Linked DNA regions of Bombyx mori. The main gene of each other region encodes a partner of the protein of the gene in region 2 in a complex. Links are inferred from orthologs where the notes say so. Each region holds a gene or a part of one and is shown on either strand. Other genes may lie near its edges.

What was found.
Region 1: negative elongation factor B (region 2) and negative elongation factor E share a complex: the UniProt entries of both Drosophila melanogaster proteins name them as parts of the NELF complex. The link is inferred for Bombyx mori from reciprocal best matches to the Drosophila melanogaster genes NELF-B and Nelf-E.

Annotation. Positions count from the first base shown.
Region 1 is NC_085110.1:10,969,391-10,976,600, forward strand, and holds the start of negative elongation factor E, read right to left. Parts: upstream 4,658-7,210; 5' UTR 2,139-4,657; coding exon 1,871-2,138; intron 1,774-1,870; coding exon 1,620-1,773; intron 36-1,619; coding exon 1-35. UniProt on the Drosophila melanogaster protein: Essential component of the NELF complex, a complex that negatively regulates the elongation of transcription by RNA polymerase II by RNA polymerase II. The NELF complex, which acts via an association with the DSIF complex, causes transcriptional pausing.
Region 2 is NC_085125.1:6,338,378-6,345,405, forward strand, and holds negative elongation factor B, read right to left. Parts: upstream 4,010-7,028; 5' UTR 3,855-4,009; coding exon 2,091-3,854; 3' UTR 2,014-2,090; downstream 1-2,013. Other genes in the region: CWF19-like protein 1, read left to right, coding at 4,830-4,846, 4,925-5,085, 5,340-5,438, 5,577-5,800, 6,412-6,527. UniProt on the Drosophila melanogaster protein: Essential component of the NELF complex, a complex that negatively regulates the elongation of transcription by RNA polymerase II.

The DNA.
Region 1 (7,210 bases), on a different chromosome or scaffold from region 2:
CACCTGGATTGGGTGTGCGTGAGCCTTTGTCGTCCCTAAAAATAATTATTGGTTTATTTAAAAGTGAAATAAGGTGTAGGTATTCACAAAAGTTTAGTCTCGCATTTCATGAGCTCCAAAATTAAGTAACAATTACATTTATTCATTCAATACTTATATGTATGTGTGTTACAATGTAGTTGTTTTTAGTACTGAAATACATTATTTCTGAGTTTTTCTCTATTTTTTGCTTGATTCTCATCAGCTGTTGGCAGAGTAGAGATTAAAAATGATGCGTTTTGCCCAATGGTAAAAGCTTATAATGAAAGAGACCCATCCAATATCACAATAGACAGAATTTTTTATTGCTTAGATAGTTGGACAAGCTCACAGCCCACTTGGTGTTAAGTGGTTACTCAAGCCCATAGACATCTACAACGTAAATGCTTGAGATATGGGTTCTAAGGTCTCAGTATAGTTACGACGGCTGCCCCACCCTTCAAACCGAAACGCATTACTGCTCCCAGCAGAAATAGGCAGGGTGGTGGTACCTACCCGTGCGGAACTCACAAGATGTCCTACTACCAGTAGTTACGTAAATTATAATGTTACGGGTTTGATTTTTATTAAACGATGTTGTTCCTTCACCGTGGAAGTCAATTGTGAACAATTGTTAAGTACATATTTCATTACAAAAAGTGGTACCCGCCTGCGGGATTCGAACACCGTTGCATCGCTAGATACGAATGCACCGGACGTCTTATCCTTTAGGCCGCGACAACTTTAGCATCACCTTATGTGAGTTAGTTTGAGTTTTGCTATTGTCTGTGGAGCTAAATTGTCTTTTACTGATCGTTTTCGCATGTTCTTGTTGTCTGGCAATCCACATTTCACAACTAGTGGTCAATCTTTTTTAAATAAATGGAAATTTCTACCAAATTGTGTACTATCAAATGTGTACATGCTTGATTTGGTTTTGTCTCAGTGAGCTCATATACTGACCAAATGTCAAGCTTTGTTGTATTTGCAGACTTTTTTGTATTTACTATTTTGTATTTTTCAAATGGGCAAAAACTATTTTGTGGTCAACTCGTAGCTCTTCAACTATTTCATAAATAGTAGTATTCTGATCTTATATCTTTTTTTTTATTGCATTGAGTAAATCTATAATAACCTGAGCCAGTGTTTTCATTCGACATAAAAAAGCACACACTGAAAATGCTTAAACTGAATTTGTGCTACTTTTACTAACACTGTGTTAAGTTCACAAAAGTCATAAACTTTTTTCATAGTTTGTGTTATATCTGTATATATTATCTGCTTTTATACTGAAAAATTCAAATGTATTTAATTTTTTAACATTAATTTTTTAAATTAGAATACATACATACAAACAAACACAATTTTTTCTGAACAATACATTCAATGATTTTGTCAGACATAAACACACTAATACATTCAATGATTTTGTCAGACATAAACACGCTAGATAAAAAGACGGTAAACTATTTTTTAAAAGTATTGCCAAAGAGATTGTGGTAGAAGTTTTGACTTATAACTTTTAAAATCTTTTTTTGCCAACCTAATATGAATATCAAAATTGATATTGAATTGAAAAGTTATTGATTATTTTGCCTTACTTTTCTCTGGCAGTGACAAAAGAGTCATAAAGATATTTAACTCTTGGAGTTTGTTTCTCTTCTTGAGGTGGAGGTTCTTGTGAAGCACTGAATGGTTGATATGAAGCAACACCTCCAGGTACTCCAGCAGAACCACTTAATTTCCTTTCTCGACCTAAAACCAAGAATTTGAGTTTACACTACATTATTATCGTTTATCAAACATTTATAAAAAAAATATCAAATTAAAGTGTTCTGAGATAACAATCTACCTGCACGTGGTTTTTTGAAAGTGGTGTTCTGTGGCTGAGTTGGAGGACTTTTAATAGCTTGAATAGCACCACTTTTCAGCAATTTTCTAGCTATTTCCCTGGCATCTCTGGCTTCTGTAGGCCTTTTTGGTAAAATTGGCTTTTCTGGTTCGGGTTTTGGTGCCTTAAGGGCTTGCAAAGCTTTCTTCTTCTTTTTTAGTTTCTGGTATTTAGCTTGTAGCATTAGTTCTTCCTCGGTTAGGTTCGAAGGAAAATGTAAATAGACCATTTTTAAATTTGTTTACATAAAAGTTTAATTTTCTGTCAGAAAAGGCAATTTATAAAAGTATAAAGATACTAATAATTATAATTTGTATGTACCTAAATTAATATAATTTTTATTTATTCACGGTTTATTAATTCACGGTTATAATTCTAAATTTTGTTTTATCACTTGTTTACAGATTCTTTTGTTTGTTTGTTCCACTGAACAGGCAAAGGCAACGTAACTTATACAGCAATATGAGATACATTAACGTTCAAAAGTTCTGAATCACACGTATTTTAATACAAAAAAAGAACATCGCAGACACTAGGTAATTTTTTTTTAATTTTTTTTACAGAATTTTATGTTTTTTTTTTTATTTATTTGTTTATTTAAGGTCGCTTTTTAACAGCAATGGTCATTAACGACCACTGTAACCTTATAATTAAATTTATCTATGGTAATCTATAATTTTCAGGAATTTTAAAGTACATTTTACATTATTATTTAAACACACAGTCAAACAAACACATAGGCAAGGCAGTAGTATGTCTCTCTGCATTAAACATTGGGCACTCAATTAGTAAATGCTTAATAGATATATATATTGCTATCACATCGACTACATTTTTTATTTCTTCTTTTGTAATAAGATGGATGTGGGTAATGTTACAGTGACCTATTTAAAACTAATTGATCTTTTCTAATATTAATATAATTAATCTGAAATTTCCTTCTTTAAAAAATTGATTTTCTTATATATCATATAAAGCACTTTTATTATCTTTTACCCAATAGCTGTTCCAGAGTGTTTGAGTCTTCCATTTAATGTGTTTTTTAAGATCCTGTATATTAGAAATAAAGTAATTACATTGGGCTAGCTTTGTGGCTCTCTTAGCTTCTGTGTCAGCTCTTTCATTTCCAGATATGCCTTGATGACTAGGAATCCAGATTAGCTTTATTATGTAATTTTTAGCTATAACCCCGGTTAGAATTTCCTTGATCAGTATAATATGGGGATTTTTGTTGTGAGTATTTGAAAGGGCCATGAGGGTAGACATTGAATCAGTGAAAACTATATATTTTTTGTGATTTGTGTTTGTCTTAATAGGTAATGTTTAAGCATTCCAGTATAGCAACTGCTTCGCATGTGAATATAGAGGTATAGTCTTGGAGTCTATTCTTCCAAATATAATTTTCTAATACAATAGCGCAACCAGATCTACCTTCACAGACTGAGCCGTCCGTGTAGTACATCTTGAAGTCCGAGTGGTTATTTTTAATTTCGTAGAAAAGATCCTTGTACATATAATCTGATGTGGTGTTTCGGGGATTATTTTGAGCTATTTCCATATTTATTGTGAAATTTGATTGGTACCACGGGGGATAATAGTGGTGTTTACGTGGAAAAACCAGGGGAAAATCAAAATTTATTTCTGCGAGGTATTTTTTAATGCTTATCCTCAAAGGAGATGAAAGGGTTGGTTGTAGCCTAAATTCTATATCCGATGGTACAGGGTCCTTTAGTATAAATGAATCTTTGTTGTTTGTTATATGGTTAGTAGCATATGATAGGCATAACTCTTTTCTCCTAAAAGCTAGTGGCATTTCCTCTGCCTCAACTAAAATGCTATTTATTGGGCTTGTTCTGAAGGCTCCTAGACTTAATCTTAAACTAGTGTTGTGGTATACTTTCTAGGGTTTTTAAAATATTGGAAGATGCAGCCTCATAAATAACAGAGCCATAGTAATTTTTTTGCCTTATCAATGCTTTGTATGTATTCTTAAATGCATGTGCTATCTGAGCCCCAACTACTTCCTGACAGAATTTTGATAACGTTGAGTCTATTATAACAATCTGACTTTAGTTTTTTTATGTGGTCGACCCAGTTCAGTTTTTGATCAAAAATTAAACCTAATATTTTTAGATTAGCATTATCTTAACCCTAATCCTCCTGTTTTCTAAAAAAATTCTAACGAAGGCTAGGGTGTTACCTTTAATACTCATCTGTTCCAGGAGTAACAAGACTCTGTGTTTCCACACCATTTCATAAGCCTTTTCCAAATCCAGGGAAACCGCCACAACCTTATTTTTAATTGCAAAGGATGTTAATATTTCGTTTTCCAAATACGCAAGATGATCTAATGTTGACTTATATTGTCTAAAACCAAATTGAACTGCTGATATTAGTTGATTCTGTTCTAAATACCATCTCAATCTATTACTTACGATTTTTTCGAGTAATTTACACAAATTGCAAGTGAGCGATATGGGTCTGTAACTGGAAGTTAAGGTTGGTAATTTCCCCGGTTTCGGAATCGGTATAACAATGGCTTCTCGCCACTTATCAGGAAATACTTGATTGAGCTAAATGAAGTTGTAAATGTCAAGGAGTCGTTCTAGGGCCACGAGTGGAAGGTTTTTGATTAAGGTGTTAGATAAGTTGTCTGGTCCTGGGCTAGAGTGTTTTAATTGGTGTAAATGGAAAAACACTTCATGAATTGTAATATTCTGATTGATTGAGTTAATATTATCAAAAAAATCGAATACATTATTACTCTCCTCTATTTGTTTTTTAAAAAGTAGAAATTCTTGGCTGTAATTATTCGAGCTAGAGTTTGCAGCAAAAGCAGACGCTAATAATTCAGAGTTATTTTTTGGATCACCACTTAACTGTCTATCATTGTATTTTAAGACTATTGTTTGTTTTTTGCCTTTTTTGTCCATTAATAGCGTTTATTTTTTGCCATACAATCCCTGGCGGAGTGTAACTATTAATGGAAGTGATAAAATTTTCCCAACTTTTCTTTCTGCTTTCTTTAAATATTCTTCTAGCATTGGCTCTTTTTCTTTTGTAATCTATCTTAAGTGAATCTTGAAGATTTTGAGGATCTTCCAAACAATTTGGACTATTTTGGTAATATTCGGCTTTTCTTTTTTCTTTTTTGTATAGTCTATATGCTCTTTTAGATTCTTTAAGTGATTTATCACACTCGTCATTCCGCCATGGCACTTGTTTCTTTTTAATTTTCCCTGTTGTTTTAGGTATATGTTTTTCCGCTGAATCGAGAAGTATTTGATTAAATTCATCAACTAGTTCATTAATTTTGGTTAGGGATTCGGGTGTAACTTTATTTAGTTGGTTAATTTTAATTCCTATATCAGTTAGACCAGTTTGCCATTTGATATTTAAAGTGTTGCGGGGCGTTTTGGTTGACAGGGCTTAAATCTATCTTTAATGTAATCTTAATAGGGTAGTGATCACTGTCGTATAGATCGTCTAATGCATACCAGTCAAAGGAAGTTGATATACTTCGCGAAGCGAAGGCTAAATCGATACTGCTAGTGTGACCATTGCTATTAATAATGTGTGTGGGCAGATTAGTATTGAGAAGAATCATATTTTCGTCTACATCTAACCAGCCAGATATAATTTTACCCCTCAGATCACAGTGATCTGAACCCCAATAAAAATGATGGCTATTAAAGTCACCCAATAATACAAAAGGTGTTGGAAGCTGATTTTTTTGATTATTCAGGTCATTTTCACTTAAGGGGCAGCTATTGGGCAAATAGACGTTACATATTGTAATAGCCAAAGGATATTCTATTCTTATTGCTATCACTTCTAGTGGGCTTATAATATCGACCTCTTTGGGTAGTGTGTGTGATTTTACATAAGTAGCTACTCCGCCACTAGCTATACTGCTATTTGATCGATTTTTGAAAAAATGAATATAAGTAATTCTTCAACTTAGCACAGTAGTTATTTTTTAAATTAGTTTCTTGGATACAAATACAAAGAGGGTCAATATAATTTAATATACGTTGTATATTCTCCAATCGTCTATGAAAACCGTTAACATTCCACTGTAAAATTTTCATTATGTCAAATAAATCACTTACCTTATTTTTAAGAAAATATGAAATAAAAGAGACTATGGCTTGCTACTGGCTTCTAACAGTTTGATAAGTTCTAGTTTCTTAACTAATCTTGTACACCTATTTTTGAGATTTCTATTTAAATTCATTTTAGTGCGGAGAAACGTGCACATATCAATTAGATCCAGGATATGATCCGTATAGTCTTTGATTAGTTCTTGAAGATTTTGTTTGCTACGGGAATTGTCTAAAAAGCTAATAAACTGGTTGAGGGAGTGCATATAGAGTCCCTTCTTTATTTCGCCTGGTCGTGTTTTATGTAATTAACACCACAATTGGAACAATATAAATTTTATTGTTGTAGCGGCATAAAGTAATTACATTAAATTAGTTATTTAACTCATTATAAATTATTTTTATGTTTTTCATATTTGGCGGTAAAAAGGTATTGCCTCACAGACTATATCCTTTTTCCCACATCTCGTGCGTTCCGGCTTACGCATAATAAAACGCCACACCACCCCCCTACGGAGAAGGAGAATCCGCAGAAAAAGAGAAAAATTATCATAGGTCGAAAGGTTTGGAGAAGTGGACTCTGCGACCTGACCGGGTGGTATATTGAGGTGTATGTGTAGGAGTAGCAGTTAGAGGTGCCAAAGGCACGAGTGGACATGAAGGGACATTAGTAGCATCCGGTTGCGCTGGTTGAGGCACAGAAACCCGCGGTGCTGGTGCTGGAACGAGATCTACTAAAGAATGCTCGACGAAAGCTGGCTTAATTCTGTCGACACTGACCGTCACCTGTTTCCCTTTTACATCAATCGGCCACGTTTTTCCGTCCTCGGCTCTAGATATAACTCTATGAGGACCAGAGTAAGGTGGTTGCATTGAACGTCTAACCGAATCCTCCCTGAGCATGACATGAGAGGCGGTGGAAAGATTTTTAAATATGAAAGGTGATGGTTTAGTGTGTGAGGAACATGGAGTGGGACGCAATTTAGACATACGCTGTCTTAACTTTACGACAAAATCCGTCGGGTCCTCGAAACCAGAAGGACTGGGAAGTACTAACAGTTCCCCTGGAAGCGTTAATGTTTCTCCGTAAAGCAATTCCGCTACTGTTGCTTTTAGATCTTCTTTAAAAGCCGAACGCATTCCTAATAAGACCAAAGGTAATGCATTCAACCACGAATCATCATAACACATCAGAGAG
Region 2 (7,028 bases):
CGATTATCGACTTTCAGGTGTTTTTTTATTCAGCTTAGACAAGAAAGATGGATACTTCGAAAATTCGAGTGATTTTTGAAAAAGAGTTCTGACTAATAGCTTGTACACACTACAACGATTTATCGTAGCGATTTAACTGCACAGTTCGTTTGTGCAGTTATCGTAACGTGTGGACGGAAGTTGGTCCAATCGCTCAGTTCGTTCACAAATCTTGTTGTAAGCGGACGCGTCAAGAGCAAGAGCAAGAAGAACCGGGGCGAACCCCACTGCTCGGGCTGAAGCTCCCTGCCACTCAGGGCAGGGGTGAGGTGTGTGCAGGATGAGATGGGCTGTTCGTAGCGTGCTAGCGTGCTCAGCACATCGACATAAATATACATAATGCCGTGCTGATGTCTGATTTTTTTTCCTGTATATCCAGAGCTATAAAAATGAAATTTGCTTGTGAAATAAGAAAAGAAAAGATTATCATGACGACAACAAGAAAAATGATAGACTAATTATTAAGTACAAACCTATTGATCCTAATGCCAATACGGATACGGTAGTAAAGAAATTAAATAGCCTCCGGACTTCTTACAAGAAATAACTCGACAAAGCCAAAGTTTTTAAAATCCGGAGCCGGAGATTAAGTCTATGTTCCTCGTTTGTGGTACCTATTTCGACTTGATGAATTTTTCACATGATGAAGAAATACCAAGGCGGTCTATATCAAATATGGAGGATGAAAATGATTATTATTGACTAGCTGGACCCCGTGGTGTTATCCGCGGTACTACAATAATCGCGGGAAGTGCCGCGGAGTGAGCCGCCGCGCTAGTCTAAAAAGTAGCCTAAGCTACTCTTTATATCATCAGCTACCTATCAGTGTAAGTCGCGTCAAAATTGGTCTGTTTTTTAGACTAAATTCAAAATTTCAACTTATTTAATAAATTTATGTGAGAGTATGACTTTCTTTTAAGAAGCCACTCCTTACACCACACACTACGTGATTTTTGCACGAAATAAGCCAGGCTATCGCAAGCGCGTCATCATTTTCTATCGCGGACGACATGTTTACAGTCTGAGCTTCTGCAGAGAACTGACGATCGATGCAGATATCGTTGACGTGTGGACTGTGGACACTCAACGGACGTACGATAAACTGTGCAGTCACATCGCTACGATAAATCGTTGTAGTGTATACCGACCATAGCATTGCAGAAACAGTTCGCAATATCAATGTTGCGTTTGGAGAGGGGGCTGCTACTGAACGCACCGTGCGATTTCGGTCTAAACGCTTTCGTGATGGAAATTTTTATTTCAAGAACGAACCACGTGGAAGACCGCCCACACATGTGAATAAAAATGAAGTAAAAGAGATGGTAGAAGCTGATCCGAGCTAAAGTACCCAGGAATTAGCGGCTTAGTTTAACGTTACCTTACCAACAATACTCATGAATGAAAATTTTGAAAAGAAGAACATCATAGGTACCATTTGAAAAACGTTTCACTCAAAAATCTCAAACCATGAAGGTTCTATGTCAATTCGAAGTACCTATTACAATACAACAGCAATTTCATACTTTAACCCCTATTATATTAGTTACCTACATAATTACCAGCACTATCATATTTATATTAATTGTACGAGTAATAGATCTTTGCCTATGAAATTGCCGTTTTATAATATTGCCGGGACACGTAAATAGTAATTATGGAAAACGAGTTTCGTCGCGGCATCAATGCCGCAGAAACGCCTCACAACATTAATGACGTGTATAGAGTGAACACTGGAGACGAACGCACGGTTTGGTGTTGGTTTAAATGCTTCTGTCAGGGAAATTTTGGTCTCCCTTTGGTCAACCTTAAAAACAAAATTATTGCCCTTTTATGCAGACATTCTAATGGACCCCCTTTGTAACCATCGCTCATGGACGAAAGCAATGCCAGAACCACAGACAATCAACTGACTGCTGACTTATAAATCTAAGAAAAGACAATAATTTTGTTTGGAATGTTTTGCAAGAAAACATGTTTTAAATTGTTTTAATATTTATATAATTTATATAATGTCTATAACTTAAAAGTAAATAATGAACAATGAATATTTGCTACATATGATATGGTGCTGGCGTGCGTACACTCATTAACGGGGAGTCCAGATATTCCATTTCAGTTGCACTCGGACCGGGTTCTGTTTGCGCATTTAATTTCTGTTGTAAAGTCTCATATAATTTATGTACAGATTCATTATGCTGAGTTCCAGGCTGCAGCGCTTTCATAAGAGTTTGAATTCTAGTCTCTGGTAATTTTGGATGAATATACCACAGCAATTTCAATAAGTGTCTTGTCACATTATCCTTAGATAGTCCAGCAAAGAAGAATTCATCAAATAATACAGTACTAAAATCTTCTCCTTGGAACTCATCAGGTAACTGTACTAGAAGTGCCACTAAAGCATGCAAAAATGGGTCTTCATATGCTCTACCATCTTTACAACTACCGAGAATACTAAGAATGCGAAGTAAGGCACCACGGTCACGTAATTTGGCTGCATGCAGTGTGTAGTACATTGCAATAACACCACAAACTGAGCTTTCTCTCATATAGGCTTCACAAGCATCAGGTGGAGGTCCCGAGTGCTCTATCGTAGTGATGGCAGACTCTCTTTCATCTGGAGGTAACTTATTATGTAGTGCTCTCACTTGATCATCCACCATCAATGACATCAAGGCAGGCAAGTATTTTGTGACACATTGACTATCTAATTTTGGCTCTTTGAATTCTTGAGAATCGATCATTACCCAAGCGCTCAACCCTAATGCCAACATTCTTAGCAGTAGTATTAAAACTGTACTATCTCGAGGTAGCCCTTCAGTGTTTATTAAATGTTGTAAAATTTTGATAGCTGACGTTGCTAAGAAATTGATAGCATAAGGGTCGCATAACGTCATAGAAAGATCTCCTAGAACTTGCTCCTGTCCCTTTTTAATACTGTCTAAAAAACCTTGCAGTTCCCTAGATCTTTTAATGTCTACATTCCTTTCCCTGATACAAGCATCCAAACACCATGTGAATTTATGACAAGGGTCTACAGATATGATGTCTTGAACTTCTAGGTCATGCAAGGCCATGAGAAGCTCTGCTCTTAATGTACAATAATGAACATTTCTAGTTCTTAAGAATAATGTTCTCAGGAATTGTAACACCATGTCATATAACTTAACACTAGTACCTATCATGTGGGCAAGTTTCTGAACAACTGCACCTTGTCTCCTTACTTTTGGGGAAGGGGAAAAAAATAGATTTGTAAGATTTTCATGATCAAACAGAACATCTTCTTTCTCCCTGATGTACTGACTGAGGAGTGGAGAAACTTCATCTCCAAACAGTGACTGGTTGTCTTGCCATATTTGACGCTTCACCTCAGTATCTGTGTCATTGTACAGTTCTCTGTCGCGAACTAGTACCCTTAGATACTTATCATCTATATGTGGGATATTTTTAAGAATACCCATTATAACAGGTCTTAAAGCTTTAACTCTGACGACTGGGAAGCTTTTAGATAGCAGTTCTTTGAGTTTTTTGTCATTATCCTTGTTATCTTTATTGCCAAGCTCGTTGATGTGGGCAATGAGTTTTTCACGTAATTCCTCCAGAACTGATGTATGAAAGTCAAGCCGCCGAACGCCATGGAGGTCTAGTAAAGGCAGCATCGGCCTTAAAGAAGGCAATAAAATACCGTTTTCAAGTTGAAACTCTTCAATAGCTTTCAATGGGTCGGTACAGCTTGTCAGAGCATCTCGCAAGAAAGTTTGTCCTGGTACTCCCACTTCTTCTAGACCAGTGCCTGGTAGTTTACTTGACGACGCCATCGATCTTAATTTAATTCAGTTTTTCAGTTCATTTAATAAATCAACACAAATAAATCTTAAATAAAGTTAACAACAACAGAAAATAACATAAATTAGTTTCCTGCTTAGAAATTATTGACAAGCAACTGACATTAAGCATATATTGACGTTTGACATCGAGCAGTAGTTTTATTTTTTTAACTGGAAAGGCAAATATGTCATACCATACGCCTACTCATATATATTCTTATATATGAAAAATGAAAATTTGAAGTGAAATAAAATGAAGTTGGTTAATTAATAACATGGTATGAAATACAATGAGATGAGATGATATGGGATGAAATATAATCTCAGTAAAATGGTGGTTATCTACTAAGGCTTTTTAAGTGGACTTTTTGGAGATCCCGAGAATTTACGTCCAGCGGCTTTGTTTCATTTTCCCACATTTGTGCAATTTCACAGATATTAAACAGCTAATAAACCACCGTTATTACTTTTTTTTTTAAGAGATTTTATGACCTGGTAACTGTGACTTTTAAGTCATGTCTTATTTTAATCTATATTCTTGATTTTATGAAAAATGATATTATGGAGTGAAATGAAATGAAAATGATTAATTTGAGACATTAATCAACTAGGATGAAATTAAATGAGATGATATGAGATGAAATCTAATCTCAGTAAAACGGTGGTCATTTACTAAGATTTTTCAGTGTACTTTTTGGAGGAGCCCGAGAAGTTAAGTCCAGCGTCTTTGTTTCATTTTCCCACATACCGTTATTACACAAGTGAAAACGTTTACAGATTAAAAGCCGTTCAATATTATTTGTAATCTCTTCGTAGTCTGTCATTATCATAATTATTGTGTTTTATTGGCTCAAACGACTCGTTACCAAGCCTTAAATTCTATAAAATTGACAGTGTTTTATCTAAAATCTAAAAGTTTGTATCAATCAAATTACCAATTTAAATGCCTTTCACTTGTGTATAAAAATGGATAAACAGAAAACGTAATTACTGATTGGTTTTCGTCTTAGTTTGAAAGCAATGCAAACAACTGAAATGAATTAATACATACTGCTTTTCAGATTAATATGTGGAGATGTAAATGGGAATTTCAATGCTTTGTTTACGCGCGTAGAATCGATTGTGAAGAAATCTGGACAGTTTGATTTGCTTTTATGTGTTGGAACATTCTTTGGAGATGATAATTCACAACTGGATGCATATAAAATGGGAACGAGGAAAGGTAAAAACGTTGACTTAAAATTTTTAATACGATAGAGATGGGCTCATTAGTTTACGGTCGACCCGGTATGAGATAGTCATTGGAACCTCTACATGTTTCATATTGATAATAATTATACTGTCGCTTATACTACCACGTGAGGATGAAGCATCAACATTATTGAGGCATTGGAATTGGTCAATATTAATTTGGGTGGGTTATGAATACATTTTTTTCTGACTATATATTTTTTTATCAACAATCTCAAATTACAGTTCCAGTGACAACCTATGTTTTTGGTCCATCAAATCCAGACCATGTACATCATTACTGTGAAGAAGGATCTGAAATAGTACCTAATGTTATTTATATGGGTAAGAACAGTTTTGAAACATTTGAAAATATGCATAGAGTTACATTATTATTTTTATTAATTACAATAAACAAATAAATGGAATGCTAATTATAGGGAAAAAAAAGAATTTGAAAATAATAATATGTTATTGTTTCAGGCCGAAGAGGTCTTTTCAACACAAGTACCGATGTGAAAATCGCATACTTGACAGGTTTATCAAGGCGAGAGCTTGGTAAAGACGTTCCTATGTGTACTTATGAGCCCAGTGACTGTAGTGCTGTCAGAGATGCATGTTTCAGAGGACAGAGTGAATTTAGAGGAGTAGATGTATTGATAACAACATTATGGCCATCGGGTATACAACAGGATGAATGTCAGACGGTGATTTATTTATTGCACATTGAACTCAACAAAACCTATTTTTTGTTTGATTAAAGTTAGATCAGATATTAAAAGTTGTGCAGCTTAATTTCATATTTTATATTACAATTTTATATTATATATTATAGTAACAGCTTTCATAGTATAACCAAACAAACAAGCTGTTTTAATGATGTGGAAAATATTTAATGTCCTATAAGAAGCAATTCAGGCACCAAGATTATTCACTATCAGATGGGGTGTGAGCATGTCTGAACCATCTGCAAGCCATAATAATAGTGTATTGAAAAATAAATTTAAACCTATTTGAAACGAACAAACAGTAAATTTGTCTCGGGTGATCAGCTTAATTTATATTCAGTTTTATCATGAGGTCCTAATAATTACTAATTAGTAATATAATATAATAAAATTAGTAATATAAAATATTAATCATTAATATTAATTAATTATATTTAATTAAAATTAAAATTTATTAGAATTAAATAATTTTATTATTAACTAATAATTAATAATAAAATTATTAATACGAACTGATAATAACACATAGAATGATCCTATTTAAAACACAACAAATGTATAAGTATACTATATTATTGAATTTGTTTCAGGTAGATGTTGAGCAAGATCGACTTTCAGATTTACTATCATGGCTTGCAATACATATAAAACCAAGATATCATTTTGTGCCATCAAAAGACAAGTTCTTTGAACGGCAACCATATAGGTTAGTGCTTTTACTAAATTAATGCCAAATTATAACATAATATGTGATGGGAGGGACATGATTGATAGGGCTTGATTGGGATGGTATGTCTCTTTTTCACAAAGTTAATTGGTACAGAATTTTCATCTCCATTCAGTTTGAAAGGATTACATACGATTCATATTTATCGCAAAAAAAAAACAGTCATCAGAATTCAATTTTAAGATCCTTTTAAGTCTCAATGAGCATATAAAAAAGATGATGGAAAGCGGTGATTATTAGAACCTGGCATACAAGCACTCAGTAAAATACACACTTTGTATTTTATATTAGTAAATTTAATTAAGTCATTGTGGCCTAGAGAACAAGATGACTGGTATTATTCTATTTACTGGTATTATTGAGCAATGCCACTAAGCTAGTCTTCGAGTGGCAGGTAGAAATTTTGCTAATATACTTAACAAATGTTCACGAATGACTTCCACGGTGAAAAAATAACATTATACAACAAAATGAAACTTG